2 linked regions of the Ovis aries genome follow. The protein of the gene in region 2 interacts with the protein of the main gene of each other region in a pairwise test. Links are inferred from orthologs where the notes say so. Each region holds a gene or a part of one and is shown on either strand. Other genes may lie near its edges.

The links.
Region 1: the proteins of FBLIM1 (region 2) and CUTA interact in binary tests that used the Homo sapiens proteins (3 or more experiments, as listed by UniProt). The two-hybrid records come from large-scale screens. The link is inferred for Ovis aries from reciprocal best matches to the Homo sapiens genes FBLIM1 and CUTA.

The regions. Positions count from the first base shown.
Region 1 is NC_056073.1:7,748,054-7,751,574, reverse strand, and holds CUTA (protein CutA), read left to right. Parts: upstream 1-1,458; 5' UTR 1,459-1,518; intron 1,519-1,601; 5' UTR 1,602-1,611; coding exon 1,612-1,653; intron 1,654-1,910; coding exon 1,911-2,119; intron 2,120-2,267; coding exon 2,268-2,327; intron 2,328-2,437; coding exon 2,438-2,483; intron 2,484-2,556; coding exon 2,557-2,660; intron 2,661-2,776; coding exon 2,777-2,903; 3' UTR 2,904-3,004; downstream 3,005-3,521. Other genes in the region: PHF1 (PHD finger protein 1), read right to left, coding at 3,450-3,521. UniProt on the Homo sapiens protein: May form part of a complex of membrane proteins attached to acetylcholinesterase (AChE).
Region 2 is NC_056065.1:51,111,795-51,115,853, forward strand, and holds the start of FBLIM1 (filamin-binding LIM protein 1), read right to left. Parts: upstream 2,860-4,059; 5' UTR 1,807-2,859; coding exon 1,643-1,806; intron 1,349-1,642; exon of another isoform or gene 1,137-1,348; intron 1,067-1,136; exon of another isoform or gene 312-1,066; intron 1-311. UniProt on the Homo sapiens protein: Serves as an anchoring site for cell-ECM adhesion proteins and filamin-containing actin filaments. Is implicated in cell shape modulation (spreading) and motility.

The DNA of each region.
Region 1 (3,521 bases), on a different chromosome or scaffold from region 2:
AACTCAGACCCACTGAGAGATATCAGAGACCCCAGACTTAGATCTCAGAGAAAAGAAACTGCAGACTCAGAGGCTGATAACTCAGACACAGAAACTCCAGACCTTGGTTGGGGGGTGGGGGTGGGGGGGCAAAAGAGACACTCTACTAGCCCAGAGATGAACTCAGAAACCCCAAACACATAAAAAAGAATTTTTAATACCTCAGAGAGAGGGTGATTGCAGACCCAGAAACCTCCCCCTGCAAACAAAAAACAAGGACACTCAGTCCTAAAAAAGATACAAATACCAAAAGACCCCATAGAGATCCCTCAGAGACAAACTCCAGAGACAGAGATCTCAGGGAGACCTCCAACCCTAGAGTGGTAAGTATGAGATAACTCAGCCTGGGAAGTTATACCCACCCAGCAGACCAGAGACCCCAGACCCAGGGAGGAGGGGGAATACTAGGTAGGGAAAGTGGCAAAGCCTTTTTCTCCCTGCCTCCTCCCACCTATTTCTCCTCTCACTGGCCCCTCCATTTTTGGGTCAGAGGATGTGCTTGGGCCCCAGGGAGGTTATGTAGGGCAGGTCCTGGCTCCTAGGGGGATGGGTTAAGGGAAGGAGACCCAAGGCTGAGACGTAGACCAGACCCAGAGAGTGAAATAGGAAGGGGGTAAGGGATAAAAGGACCATCACTACTTCCTGGTGTCTTCTTCATACCCCCAACCTGCAGCCCTCCTCTCCCCCACCTTCTCTATCGATTCACAAGTCTGTCTGCAGTTTTGGGGCTTCAGTTAAGGCTGAGGCGCTCCATTTTAATCACTGTCTATCCCACTTACAGGGTCTTAATCCGTTCTCTTAAAAATGCATCTTTCCACCTAGTCGTGGTCTTGCCATGCCCTGCCTGCCTAATCACTTCCCCCTATAACCAGAGACAGTTGGTTTCTCAGATTATACTTGTGCATTCCCCAACTCAAGAATCTGTCAGTCCTAACCAAAATGGCAGGGGGCGCTCTCTTCACCCTCCGGCCCTGAGGTTCAATCTCCTAAGACCCTGTCATTTCTTAAGGCCTCAGGAACAGGGCTGTTACTAGGCACATTCCGGGGTTTAAGGATGAGCCCCCACTCCACAATCTGACGCATCGACTCTGCGGGGTCTCCAGCCCCCCTTTCCCAGCGCCAGGGCTCTCATCATGTGGCCTGCGGGGCGGCCCCGCGATTGGTCTCTTCGCGTAGTTCATTGAGGTACCGCTGCCTGAGGCGACCCGCCCCCTCACGTGACAGTGGAACGCCGCTGCGGCTCTCCTCAACCTGCAATTGGCCGCTTCCGGTTTACACGGAAACGGGCGCTCCATTTCCGTGCACGTCTGCAGATCCTGGTGTTGATTGGTTGGATCCTTCCTCGCCCCTCCCACCCCCGGAGGCGGGACAAACCGGGCCACGTGGGAGCGAGGATTGGCTGGCTTTGGAGGTTAGGGTAGTCCGGTTTCTACTGTCACGTGGTCTGCGCTGTTTTCTTATCACGTGGCTGCTGCCCAGGTAAGAAGAGGCTGCTCTTCTTGGCTTTGGGGTTCTTCCTCCACGTAACGTGTGGTCTCTGATATTCAACCCTCCTCTGCCAGCATAGGCTGCATGAGGCGGGGGCGGGCTCCCGCATTCCTGCTCGGCGGAGGGGTGAGTGATCGGCCCCGCCCCTTCCGGTCCTCGAAGCTTCGCCCATGACCCGTACCCCAAAACCCAGAGGTTGGCCTCCGAGGAGAGAGTGAAAACCGAGTCTTTGCCTTAAATTTTCCAAGCTTCTCTTGGTTTCAGTAATGTTTTTCTTCGGGATGCAGAAGAGGGCGGGCCTGAGTGTTTATGCAAGCGAAGTGTTCCCGGGGTGCAGTTTGCTGGGGTGTTTATGAGACGCCGAATCCACCCCCTGCTCTTAGGCCGCTCTGCTCCTGTCGCTGTTTTGGATGCCGATACTGCTGCCTGCAGCCTCTCGCCTTCTGTTGCTACCCCGAGCCCTGCTGTCCATGGCTTCAGGAAGTCCCCCGGCCCAGCCCTCGTCGGCCTCGGGCTCCGCCTATGTCCCCGGCTCGGTCTCTGCGGCCTTTGTCACCTGCCCCAACGAGAAGGTCGCCAAGGAGATCGCCAGGTGGGGACTTCAGTGTGAAGCGAGGAAAGGTGCTTATGAAGGGAGAGATGGGGGAGCGCCTCCCGCTGCTTCCTGCCTGTCTCTGGGCTGCCAGTGCAAAAATCCGGGTCATGGGGCCTTTAAAAAGGTGCTCTCTCTTCACCTTCAGGGCTATGGTGGAGAAGCGCCTCGCAGCCTGCGTCAACCTTGTCCCTCAGATTACATCCATGTGAGTCAATTAGGGGTTGGAGGGTTAACCTAACTCAAAGAACTGACTAGCAGTCTTTTACCTTGAGGGAAATCTTTGCCCTCGCAACACTCTCTTCCTTACCTTTTCAGCTATGAGTGGAAAGGAGAAATTGAAGAGGACAGTGAAGTGCTGATGGTGAGAAATGTTTCTTACCCGACAAAAACTTAATTCTCTGACTATTTACTTTGACCCCTATCCCTCATCCCAGATCCTGGAATCAAGTTCACCCCCTGATTCAACCATGTTTGTCTTCACCCCTCAGATGATCAAAACCCAAAGTTCCTTGGTTCCAGCTCTGACGGATTTTGTTCGGTGAGAACTTTGATGTGGGTAGAGGTGAGGGTGTAAACTGTGGGGTGAGCCTTCCTGGGCAGTCTGAGGGGACAGACTCCTTTGGGTAAGTCTTTGCTCCCCTATCGTTTCCACAGGTCTGTGCACCCTTATGAAGTGGCCGAGGTGATTGCATTGCCTGTGGAGCAGGGGAACCCCCCGTACCTGCAGTGGGTGCGCCAGGTGACAGAGTCAGCTCCTGACTCCAGCACAGCCCCGCTGTGATGAACCTTTGTTCTTGCCATGGTTTTCCTCATAAATTTCAACACTCCTACCTTGTGATGACTGGACTCTTTAATAAATCCCATTTTTAGTTCTCTCTTCCATTTTACTTTCTCCTTGTCAAAAAGTGAATTTGGTTGGGAAGATCAGAAGTGCTTCTAGTCCCTTTCTTCTCGTTTTTTGGAATGATTCAGGGCTGCTAAGTTTGTTTATTTATCTTTATTTCAATGATACAGAGCCCAGGATCTGTTCTTCTCCCCTCCTCAGTCTCCGTCCCCAGGGGTTAAATAATTTTTAAAAATATTTAAAAAGCTGTAACAAAATAACATCAAAGGAAATGAGGGAATGGTTGGGGGGAAGGTCAGGAACCGTGAAGGGAGTAGAGGAGAGCGAGCCTCTTCCCCAACCCCCAACCTGGATTCCAGCCTGGACAGTAGGGGGACATACCCCCCTAGTGCCCCAGGTACATCCCAGCTGTAGGTGAGGTCAGAGGTCAGGGTATGAAAGTGCCGGTGTGTGTCAATGGGCAGTTAGGCAGAGGCAGGCTGTTCAGAAGATGCCCCCACCTCCCCACTCAACCAGGTACTGCACAGAGCCATCAGGCCGCACTCTCCGAGCAAG
Region 2 (4,059 bases):
AAACTGCAGGCAGGGGGAGTGAAACTGAGCCCCCTCTCCTGGCCTTGGAGCCTGGGACAGAAAGGCCTCTCCCTCTCTCCCACCCCAGGGAAGTGGAGGAGGCCCATAGGGCTGAGTTCATCCCCAACCCCACCTCTTTCCTGCTGGGCCACCCTAAGCAGGTCACTGAACCTCTCTGGGCCTCTGTTATTTCAAAGAGTGGAAATAATGAGGTCTTTTTGGAAGGGTGGCTGAGAGCATAAAAGAAGAGGGGGTGCTCAAGATCTTGGTACTGGGTAGGTGCCAAGAGAAAGCGGATAGTTACTCAGTACCTCAGGAGAGGCGGAACCCCCGGGGCCCTGAGAAGACCAGGAGTTGGCTTCCATCAATGAGAAGAACAGGGATCCGGGCGCTGCCCAGTCTCTCCGCGGGGTCCTCAGATTCTGGGCTGGAGGAGGACTCAGGGCAGGGCGCCCCAGGCACATACCCTGGGAATAGCTCAGCCCCACCCCTTCCCAGCACCAACCCCCCCCCCAGAGGATATGAGGCCCAGAGAGGGGCAGTTCCGCGGCCCCTCCTGCCCCTCGCCTAACCCCGGCTGGGGCAAGAGGCCCGGAGCTTCCAGGGCCTTGGGAAGCCCGGCGCCCTCCCGCAAGCAGCCAGGCGGGGCGGCTGGCAGGGTCACGGTGGGGCGCCGCCGGGGACTTTAGTTCGATCCGTGTGCGGGACGCTGTCCTCTTTGTGCGGGAGCTCCCGCCCTGCTTCTACCGCTTCTCTCCGCGAGCCGCTCCGCGGCAGGGACGTCCGCGCTGCCTCCAGACCCGCCCTCCCTCCGCCCGGGGAGCAGAGACCCGCACCCCCGGCCCCCAGCCCCGCGGGCCCCCCTGGGAGCGCCGGAGTTGGGGTCCGGGCCGGGGAGCAGGGCTGCGCGCCGGCCAGGGGCTGCCCGCGCTGTCACCTGTGTGTAGCCGGGGGCGCGGACGGCAGGACGGGACCCCCCCCCCCCCCCCCGCTCCGCTTACCTGAGCCGCCCGCGCCCCCTGCGGCTCCGGTCGGTCACCCGATCGAGCAGAGCCAGGAGCGGCGCGGCGCCTCCCGCCCCCTCCGCCCTCCCCGCCCCCTCGGCTCCCTCCGCCCCGCCGCCGCGGCCGCCTTACCATAAAAGGTGAAGCTTGGGGGAGGGGGCCCGGGCTCGCGGCCGGGCGGAAGCGGCCCCTACCTGCCCCCCCACCTGCCGGCCGCGCCCCGCGCCGCCCCCTCCCCGTTCCCTTTGTTCCCTCGACCCCTCCTCCCTTCCCCTGGGCCCAGGCCTGGAGGGTGGGCGGCCTCCTCGGGTGCCCACTCTCCTCGTCCTTTGTGAACCCAGAGTGCTCCTCCCCCAACCCCCTCCCCGAGGTCGCCTGGGGTGGTGGCCCCACCAGTTTGGCCTGGGATCTCCCACGGTCTTAAGGATCGGGTGGGACCTGGATTCCCCGGACGCTCACTAATCCTGTGACACTAGGCATTCATTCCACCTTCTTGAGCCTCAGTTTCTTCGCCTCTAAAATGGGGCTAATGACCTGTCTGGCCCCTAACGCCTTCTGCAGGTGGGTCCCCAGAGTCCTGGGGGGACAGGGTCCTCCGGGAAGCCTGGTAGACAGGGCCTCGCTGGCAATCAGATTACCCGGTTTGCCACGCTGGACCCGGCATCTGACCCCTCCACTGCTCCAGCCTCCTGCTCCTCTGTCCCCCAAACGTGGAATGGGGAGGGAGAAGCCCAGCCTGGGCTCTGGGGCAGGAGATGGAGCCTGGATGGGCCGCCTGAGTCCCTGGAGGCCCAGGGAACATTGCTGGGAAAAGGAATCTGGGTCTGATTCAGAGGCAAACAGATTGCTCTTTTGATTAAAGCCACAGTGGCGGAGGCCAGGGGAGTGCTGGGGCCGGCACCGTCTGCAGGGAGGCCAGGTAGGGTCTGGCTCTCCTCTGTGGGCCCAAAGCTGCAGTCACGCTGCTGGCTGGAGGGCTCTGGGGCTGTTCTTGGGGGTCATGCTTCTGGGGGCTGGTGGGGGGCGCTGAACACCCTGTCCTGTGCTTCTCTTCCTCCCCCACCCTGCCTCCCTAAATCCCTCACTCGTGTTTGGTCACCTCTCCCATCCTGCTCTGCATCCCTTTTTCCTTTCCATCCTCACAGCCAGTCCTGTAATAACGACAGTAGTAACAGTAGCTGCTGTTCATAGGGGCTTCCTATCTGATGCTCGGCCTGCAGACCTTTCCATTTAATTCCCGGGAGAGCCCTATGGGAAAAGGCTGATTATTCCTGCTTCACAGATGAGGAAACTGAGGCACAGAGAGGCTCAAAGCCGACACAAGAGGCAAATGGCAGAGCTGGATTCCAACCCACAGCAGCAGGTGCCCCTGGGTACACACGCCACCCTGCAGGTCCCAGCGGCTGGCGAGACTGCCACCCTTCAAGCTGCAAAGACAGGTGACTCCCTCTCTTTTCAGCAGAGAGAGACTCGCACTCAAGGCTGCCTGAGCCCGTGGTCAGGGTCATTCCCCTGCTTGACAAGGTTACCTCCCTTTGCAAGCACCCCTTGGAACAAGATCTCTATACCTTCCCCAGGAGGAAGGAAAAATCCACTGGATGCCAGCCATGGGAAGGACCCTAAGGAAGAAGGTTTGATCCAGGGGTTTTCAGACCCTTTTAGCCATAGAACTCCCTTTTAAAGTGCATTGTGACTCAGAAGCTTATTTAAAGCAAATAAAAATGTTGCTACCTTCCCCTCACCTCCATGATACCTCCCCTAAGCACCTACCACACCTCCAGGTGGGACAGTGAGGTTGATGTGGGGCCTAAGGTCTCACTGACTCCAAGCAGGATCTAAGCCTTCCCTGCTGCTAAGCTAAGACTGGCTTGGAAGAGGGCAGGTCCAAGGGGAATGTGGAGTCCAGCTGCTGCCACTTACCAACTGTCCAGCACCTCTTTCCCACCTCTGCTGCTGCTCCCGGGGGGAGAGGAGCGTCCCGGACAAGGGAGTCTAGCGCCAGCCTTGGTGTCTGTGTCACCTCGGCAGGTGCCCGGCTTCCTGCAATGGAAACCCAGGAAGTGCACTGGATAAGAACACACGCCCTTTGTCTGCCAGCTTAGAGGCTCTGCTCCCCTCCTCCTGTCCTGCCAGCCTGGAACAGCTTTCTCCTAAGCCACTGAGCAAAAAGATTCGATCTGTTAGGTTTGCAGCAGCCGAGACCCTATAGAAGGACTATATTCATTGGGAGGACTGATGCTGAAGCTCCAATACTTTGGCCACTTGATGCAGAGGGCTGACTCATTGGAAAAGATCCTGACGTTGGGAAAGACTGGGGGCAAAAGGAGAAGGGGACAACAGAGGATAAGATGATTGGATGGCATTACCGACTCAACGGACATGAGTCTGAGCAAACTCTAGATGGTGAAGGACAGGGAAGCCTGGTGTGCTGCAGTCCATGGAGTCACAAAGAATCAGAAATGACTGAGAGCCTGAACAACAAGCTGAGACCCTGCATGGCAGGGAACGTGGGTGAGAGGCTGGAGAGTAAGATTTAGGGCAGTGGGGACATTTGCCGCTGTCCAGTCTGCTGGGGAACCTCCTACCCAAAGAGCAGTTGAGCACCTGCTGTGTGCTCAGCTCGAGTCACGGAGCCCACGAGAATCAAGTCAGGTGTCACCAGTCCTGGTATCCACAGGGGCTTCCCCAGTGGCCCAGACGGTAAAGAATCTGCCTGCAACGTGGGAGACCTGGGTTTGATCCCTGAGCTGGGAAGATCCCCTGGAGGAGGGCATGGCAACTCATTCCAGTATTCTTGCCTGGAGAATCCCCAAGGACAGAGGAGCTTGGAGGGCTACAGTCCATGGGGTCGCAAAGAGTCGGACATGACTGAGTAACTAAGCATAGCATGGAATAGTATCCACGGGGGAGTGCAAGACATAACAGTCTTTTCGTTTGTTTGTTTTGCCTGTACCGTGCAGCTTGTGGGATCTTAGTTCCCCGACAAGGGATTGAACCCTGGCCACTGCAGTTAAAGCACCTAGTCCGAAGCGCTGGACTGCCAGGGAATTCCCAA